2 linked regions of the Rattus norvegicus genome follow. Each later gene encodes a partner of the first gene's protein in a complex. Links are inferred from orthologs where the notes say so. Each region holds a gene or a part of one and is shown on either strand. Other genes may lie near its edges.

Region 1 (4,086 bases):
AGTGCTTAAAATATTTTAGAAAATACATTTGGCCCTCTGTTTTGCCTGCCTGCATTCTCAAATTCAACCAGCCTTAAGAGTCAAAATATTTTCTAGAAATAAATGACATCTGTACTGCACATGTGCATTTTTTATTTCCTAAATAATCTAACCATTGCTTCATAAGCATAAGAATTGTTTCCACAGCGTCTGCATTGTGGCAGGTCTGGTTAGGACACTTGGATATGATTTAAAGTCACTTGAGAATGCATGCATACATACTTTATACAAATAGAGGGTCATTTAATATATGGGACTTGAGCATCTGAAGAAGGTGGTCTCCCTTGATTCTAAGCTCCCATGGATGCCTTTGGTATAACTGTTCTTCTGAAAGCAGCTTTTAAAGCTAGTATCACAGACACACAAAATGATATGACCTGGTGTGTGTGTGTGTGTGTGTGTGTGTGTGTGTGTGTGTGTGTGTCTGTGTGTGTAACATTTAATTTCTCCTGGCTAGCCTCCTTTACCTCAGCTCTGTGGGCTATCTGGTTGTCTCTAGCCTTAGGTCTGTTAAGAGACAGACCCAGGTGAGTTGGACTGAAACAACTGGCTAGGGAGAACAAAGTTAATATTTTGAAGGAGCCTGGCCCAGCTCTTAGGGGTTCAGATAGATCTCTATTCCGGAAAAGCAAATGAGTAGGAAGAATGTCAGTTAACTACTGGCATGAAGAGGCAAGTGTCTCATTTATGACAGGGAAACACAAGTGTATACTACTCAATGCTCATTGTGCTTCTCTGGTAGAGGATCTAGAGTGAAAGAAAAGGAAGAAAAAGAGAGCCCAGATCTATAAGAATGCTAATTATGTACTTACCTGATTCAGAGACAGATGGTCAATGGCAGAACTGTATTCTTCATTTTCACTGTCAAAAAAGAATATGAGACTATATTTTGTCCATTATTTTACTGTGGTCAGTGAGTATCATATCTAACTTAACACATTAACTTTGGGTAACACAGACAACATTCCTAAAAACTGATTTAGGCACAGGCACCATTGAATTCAAACGCTCTAACACAGTAATGACTTTTAGTGGATGTCTAAGAGCTAATCCATCCTTAGGAGAACTTGAGTCCTGTTAGGATGAGAGTAAGCTCCACAGTAACTGAGTACATGAACACACACACACACACACACACACACACACACACACACACACACACACACGATCATTACTCTTGGAAAAGTTAAAGACTTCTGTACATTCATGTCTACTATACACATAGTAATTTATTTGTCACTAATTTGAAATTAGTAATTATTAGAACAGCTTTGTGCTTTATAAAAAATCAGGCATGACTAATGAACCAGAGTCTTAACAGAACCTCAGGGAAGACTTAAGGTCTTTAAAAGAAAAGGGTTTGATGCATCACAGGCGTACTTTGTCATACGCTACTTACTTTCATGTCTTCACCAAAACATTTACTGTTTAACATTTTGTAGCTTTATTAGCATTAGCATTAATTGTAAACAACAAGAACATCATATTAGTTAAGAATGTTCTAGAATTTCAACTCTCTGCTCTTTTGTCTTTTGTATCAGGGTAAGGTTTGACGATGAGTGTGAATCCATGTGCCCGAGAGCCGTTACCTCCTTTGACTGGGAACAGGTTCTCTTGAGAATGGATTCTCTCTCAAATAGCTCATTAAAACCCACTGCTGACTCTTTAGAGTGCCTACGTTGATGTTGATATAAAATTATGTCAGATTCAGTATACCTCAAAAATAATTTTCTACAATTTCCGTTTTTTCCTGCCAATGAAATATCCTTTTAGTATGACGGATGCCTGGTCTTTCTAGGTCTTCTCTGTCCTCAGGACTTCAGGGTCAATGTATATCTCCATAGCCTCTGCCAGCCTGTCCCCTGACTGGTCACATTAACTCTTAGTTAATTCGGATTCAAAAGAGTCTTGTGCCCTTCATTGAATCAAAAAAGGAAGACTCCGTTTCTTACCTATAGCAGTTCTTTAGGTCTTCAAACAAGTCAGGAACTTTGGCCATCTTGATTTCTGCAAGAGAACACCAGTGGCTGTCAGCTCAGTCCACCTCTAAACCCTGTGCTTGCAAGGGCAATGACCCTGCTTTGCTCTTCTTGAGAAACTACAGTAGTGACTTATCACATGTTCAGCATTTCCTCTATTCTCCTTCATCCTCCCTTACATTATTTCTGTATGCTTTTATCTTTTCCACTAGCTTGTTTTCAAGAATGTTTTCTCTAACTTGGTATTCTTTGTGTCCAGTCTATCGCCTCACACATAGTAGGCACTTAGTAAAAGTTGAACAGAATAAGGAAAAAAATTAAAATCACCTGAGTGAGGTGTCTGCCTTATATAGAGGCAAGGGAGACACAGAGTGGGAACCTGCTGGTCTCTTTCATTTTTGTCAGGAGAGATGTCCGATCTCCAGAAAATGGTTCAGCTTTGCTGATAGACTCGCTCACGTGAATCTTGTTCAGCTGCTCCCTAAGTTCTCTATCACTAGAAAGAGAATTCTTTTCTGAGCCTCTCACTCCAGCCCCTGCTCTAAATCAGACAAGAGAAGATGAAGAGGAAGAGGAGGAGGAGGAGGAGGAGGAGGAGGAGGAGGAGGAGGAGGAGGAGGGAGGAGAGAAGAAGAGACCATTTTCCTTACGAAAGATGTCTTGAGAGAGGACAGTCGAGGAGCAAACAAAAGACAATTCTCATAGCCTCAGATGGGATAAGGACAATACCTTTGCCGACTCAAGCGCCAATGAGTTGACTCCCTCTGTGCCCTGGAGACTTTAAGTCTGAGTCAGGCTTCTCTCTGTCTTTATAGTCTTCCTCAAGTAGTAGGTGTGGTCATGAGTGTGTGTCATTGGGAATTTACAGGAAACAATTCTGCTTCGTATCTTTCTGTGTTCATTCTTCTTGATACGGGCTAGAAGGACAGATTATACACTGGTAATAATGTTGCTTGCAAAGACTCTGCGGGCTGTTGGCTTGATCTGCCTATTTCTCGCTTGCTCCATGTGACTATAAACATGTAGTCTTACAAAAAGGGAAGAGTGGCAGGAAGCTCACCAATGGAAGAGGAAAGGAGACATCCTCAAATCGGAGCGGGAGTCGGACTAGGACAGGTGCTCCATAGTTGTACTTTGTGTTTTGGTCTAATTTGTTTATTGTGCCCCAGGACTGAATACAGATGGGAGGGATAATTGGCAGCTAAGGCAGGGCATTTGAGGGAAAAATGAGCTCCCCACCCCTCTTTGAAGGGTAAAATTTGCTTGAATAAGTCAGCAGTCCACGTATAAAACAATGGCCTTCTGGTTAAAGGTAAAGGAGGTAAAAGTGACACTGAACATAAAGACCTGGGCCCTCTTACTCCTTTAAACAGTATTAACGCACTTCCTACAGAGACGACAGCTTCAGAGGAGAGTTGTCAGCCCCAGCCACATCATGGTAAAGTAGCTCTGTCCCACTACCTAGTGTCCTTCAGGATAGTTCAGGAGAGAGGATAAGCTGCCCACTTTTGGAGGCAGGGACAAAGTCCCAGCCAGGGGAGTGCCTCAGCCCAGGAGTGGGGGTTGTGGGAGAGGAAGGTATGGATTCTTACACAGATCAGCATTGCCTTTTTATTAGAAACAGTTTCAGTTCCTAGACGCCAGGCCAGTCTAAGAGATAGACTCTCAGCAAAGCAGTGTTTCAGCTTTTCTACTTGGCATTTAAGCCGTGTAACTTTTAAATAAAGGAAGTGGGTGGTAGACAAGGAAAGAAAAAAGTGGCAAAGAGAGAAAAGCAAACCACTGAAACATGGAATAAAAATCAAACCAAACCAAACACAAAACTGTGAGGCTAGGAGTAAAGCAGCTTACGTGAGTTGGATGAACCACGCCCTCTGGCCCTTTTAAATCACAGAGTGGAGCTGTTTAGATGTTCTTTGGTTCTATTGCATATGTAAACTCTCCAGTTCCAATGTGGCTGTCCAGTCTGTCCCTCCTCTTGTTATATTTATAAACAAAATTCAAAGATGAGTGGTATCCTACGTAAGGGAAGGAAGGACAAGCACAGAAGTAGACTGGAGCCAAAGCT
Region 2 (3,995 bases), on another chromosome or scaffold:
TGCAAAAATCAATTGAATTAATTAACCTTAACAGCTGTGACAGTTGACTAGGGTAATACAGTTAAAACGTTTAGTGATGTTCATTATTACAAACCAAAGGGCAAACTCTAGCAGTTATATAGAAGAAACTGAGAACTAGAGACGTGGAGGTGAGTCCCAAAAGCTGCCTTGCCTGCCTCAAATCTCTGTACTTTTTTTGCTCATCAACTATGTATTTATTGAGCACCTACTTAGTGCAAGATTTTACTATGCCACACACACTCAAGGACCTGAGTTCTGTCCTCAACAACAGAGGAACAAAAACAAAAATAAAAATTAATTAAATTAAATCTTTAAAAAAATCGCATAGTTCTAGATGCTGTAGGATATTTGAAGAGGAACCCCACTCCTTGTCTTCAAAGTACCCATGATTTCCATGTTTCCATCTCAGGTAAAAATGGAACATTCCCATCTCCCAGTCTCAAGAAAAGAAATCAGAGTGGTACATAAAAATAAGCATCTCTGTTTCAGGAAGGAAGCTTTATTGGGGGAATGGAGTGCTGCCTGGCCCTGCCCAGCAGGCCCTGCTGGCCCCCATCCCGACAGCAGACTTTACTTCTTGCGAATCGCCAGGACCTTCTCCTTCCTGATTTCCTTTGCCAGTTCCCCAATCAGTCTCCAGTACTCATTGAACTTCAGCTCCGAATCCTGATTCACGTCCAAGCTCTTCATCTTTTCGTCTAGAGAACCCACATCCTAAGAAGATGTAAAAGGGAAAGGTTAGGGCTCTCGGGGCAGGGAGAAAGGGAAGTACAGGTGCCTTCCCTCAGACAGCGCCAACGGCTAATCCTGGTCTGAAGGATAAGGTTCCAGGACTGCACTGCCTGGAAGTCCTATATCCAAGGGACATGAGCAGACACTCTGGCTGATTGTAAACTACCTTCCTCCTCCACTACTGCCCCTGCTGGCCATTCGCGTCACTCTAATGTCTTCTCAATGTAGTCACCACCCATTAGGTCAGGGGAATCGCAAAAATACCAGGTTATCTGGCTTTCTAGGGTCCTCTTGACAAAGAGTGTCATGGCTATGAAACCAATAGGTTCTGTAAGCCGGCCTTCATGATGAAAGGATTTGTTGCCAGATAAACAATTACAACATAAATGCCACTGTTGAACAACTGGTGGATGTCAGATTGAAGGATGCCTCAAATGGAGCTTGATTCTCAGTGCTGGGAGATATTTGGGGGTGTAAGGGGGTGTTTTGGTTTTTAGGTTTATTCATTTGATTTTATACATATGGGCGCTTTGCCAACACGTGGAATGTACGTATACCATACACATGCCTGGTGCTCACAGAGGTCAGAAGAGAATATCTGAACAGGAATTACGGATGGTTGTAAGCTGCCACATGGGTGCTGGGAATTGAACCTGGGTCCTTTGCAAGGGCAGTGTGCATACTCACTGAGCCATCTCTCCAGCCCCCATGCTCAACCTTTGAGTCAACATTTGGAGAAAGGCAAAGATCTGCCAAACAGATCTCTAGATGACAGGAAGCAAATTCCTAGTGTGGTTTTATAGCAGCAGCATAAGCTCAGTCATTGGACAACACTTCCACTACCAGCTGAAGGAAAGAGTGCAGCCAAGGGGGAGAGAGGCAAGCAGTCTTAGGTCCTTGATTCCAGGCGTGGTGATCCTATATTATTTATTTATTTCATTTGATCCTCATGCTCTACTAGGATGACAGCCTCCATGGTAGCACAAGGACCTTGTCTATGTTGTTCGACACCGTACATTCAGTGTCAAGTACACAGCTGAAGTTTGTTCATCAAAACAGGAAAAGACAGAGTAGTCTTCAATAAGTACGGGTTAAATAAATACATCACTAATTGAACAAGAAAGGTGTGACAAGTCTGCCTAACAAATGAGAAACTTAAACCTCAGAAAAATCAGATACTGGTGCCAAGCACAAATGAACAGCCGGAACCTGTATTTGAATCCAGTACACTGCTCGCTCGCTCGCGCTCGCTCGCTCGCTCTCTCTCTCTCTCTCTCTCTCTCTCTCTCTCTCTTTCATTTTATTTTATTTTTTATTTTATATATGAGGGTATTTTGCACCATGTGCGTGCCTGTGCCTGTTGAGGCCAAAAGAGGATGTGGATCCCCTCAACTGGAGCATAGACAAAGGTGAGCCATCATGGAGCAATGGAATTAAATCCTGGTCCTCTGGAAGGGCAGTCAGTGCTCTTAACCATTAAGCCATCGTTCCAGCTCAAACCCAGGTTTTCTAAATCAGCGATTCAATTCCCATCTACTGTTCTGTGTCTTTCCTCCCTGCCTGCACCCTGCCCCCTCAAAAAAAAAAAAAAAAAAAAAACTATTAGAAATGAGCCAGCCTGGTTGTGCATGACAGTAATCTCAGCCATCCAAGGCTGAGAATCCAGCGTTCAAGGCCTGCCTGGGCTATTTCAAATGTTTTGTTTTTTTTTTTTTGATTCTTTTTTTCGGAGCTGGGGACCGAACCCAGGGCCTTGCGCTTCCTAGGCAAGCGCTCTACCTCTGAGCCAAATCCCCAACCCTACTACTTCCACTTTCTAATGTGTCATTCCAGGCAACCCCATTCCTAGTTCTAGCCATGGTTACTCATAATTGGCTCTGAATAAACTATTTCTTATTCCCTTTGAAAGCTGCTTTTGCAATGATGTGGAATTACAGTCATGTGCTTCCATACCTGGTGTCACCACAGATCACTCTGGTTTGGTTGTTTCCTGAGGCGGGGTCTCACGTGGTCTAAGCTGGCCTTAAGCCCTCTGGATAGCTGAGAAGGACCTTGAGGTCCTGATCCTCCTGCCTTCACCTCTCACGTGCTGGGATTGCATGTGTGCACCACCAAGCCCAGCTTCAACACAAAACACTCCTAACGCCAGCTACGGGTGGGTATTCATACCAAGCAACTCTCTGGCAGAGAGCAGCCAGGTGTCCGGGACTTCAGCCCAGTTCTGACACAGTTCACTTAAAGTGCACACCTTGGAGAGACTCCATAGGGTAAAGATGGCAGCTTCCTCTTAAGCGTGACTGATGTGACCCTAAGTTAAATATTTACTGGATTTTTTAACATAATAAAATGCTATGAGTCAGGGGTAGTGTCAAATGCCTGAAAATCCCAGTCAGGTGGGAGTCCAGGACATAAGGACCACTGTAAGTTCAAGGCCAGCTTGGCATAGTGAGTTCTAGATCAGCTAAAGCTATATAATGATGGCTCTGTCTTAAAAGATCTGAAAATCAAATAAGCAAATAAATAAAAAGGGTGGGGGTTCTTCTTGAAAAGTAAACATATCAAACTTGCCAGTAAAATTCAGAAGAAATAAGAATTTAAGTAAATACAAATGGGTTGTGGTGCTCTTGTAATGCCAGCACTTAGGAGGCTGAGGAAGGAAGATTGCTGTGAGTAGGAGCTCAGCCTGTTTTAGAGTGAGGTCAAGACTAACGAGAATACACAGTAATAACAGGGTGAGGGGCTCAGTATTTTTAAAAGGGCTGGGGAGATGTGATATGGTTCATTAAATTCCAGGACAGCTAGGGCTACACAAAGAGGCCCTGTTTCAGAAAGAAGGAAAGAAAGGAAGAAAGAAAGAAAGAAAGAAAGAAAGAAAGAAAGAAAGAAAGAAAGAAAGAAAGAGAGAGAGAAAGAGAGAGAGAAAGGAAGAAAGAAAGAAAGAAAGAAAGAAAGAAAGAAAGAAAGAAAGAAAGAAAGAAAGAGGAAGGAAGAAAGAAAGAAAGAAAGAAAGAAAGAAAGAAAGAAAGAAAGAAAGAAAGAAAGAAAGAGGAAAGGAGAGAGGGAGGAAGGGAGGGAGGAAGGTAGGAGGAAGGAAGGAAGGAAGGAAGGAAGGAAGGAAGGAAGGAAAGAAGGAAGGAAATGAAAAAGAAAAGATATTGGTGAGGCATTGTCCGCCTGTAATCCTAGCACCTGGGAAGAAAATGCAGGAGGATCTCAAGTTCAAAGCCAGCCTGGGACAAACA

What was found. The genes of interacting proteins can lie anywhere in the genome.
Region 2: the proteins of Il1a (region 1) and S100a13 are in contact, whole or in part, in an NMR structure (PDB 2L5X), measured with the Homo sapiens proteins. The link is inferred for Rattus norvegicus from reciprocal best matches to the Homo sapiens genes IL1A and S100A13. Residues at the interface, in NP_000566.3 of Homo sapiens: Asn148, Gln150, Tyr151, Thr194, Ala195, Gln196, Asp197, Leu203, Leu204, Lys205, Glu206, Met207, Gly216, Ser217, Glu218, Thr219, Asn220, His239; in NP_001019381.1 of Homo sapiens: Met1, Arg25, Gln26, Glu27, Gly28, Arg29, Lys30, Asp31, Ser34, Asp68, Ser69, Glu70, Lys72, Phe73.

Annotation. Positions count from the first base shown.
Region 1 is NC_086021.1:136,987,218-136,991,303, forward strand, and holds the start of Il1a (interleukin-1 alpha), read right to left. Parts: upstream 2,801-4,086; 5' UTR 2,748-2,800; intron 2,715-2,747; exon of another isoform or gene 2,346-2,714; intron 2,047-2,345; 5' UTR 2,039-2,046; coding exon 1,992-2,038; intron 901-1,991; coding exon 852-900; intron 1-851. UniProt on the Homo sapiens protein: Cytokine constitutively present intracellularly in nearly all resting non-hematopoietic cells that plays an important role in inflammation and bridges the innate and adaptive immune systems.
Region 2 is NC_086020.1:178,300,020-178,304,014, reverse strand, and holds the end of S100a13 (protein S100-A13), read right to left. Parts: intron 736-3,995; coding exon 592-735; 3' UTR 501-591; downstream 1-500. UniProt on the Homo sapiens protein: Plays a role in the export of proteins that lack a signal peptide and are secreted by an alternative pathway. Binds two calcium ions per subunit. Binds one copper ion. Binding of one copper ion does not interfere with calcium binding.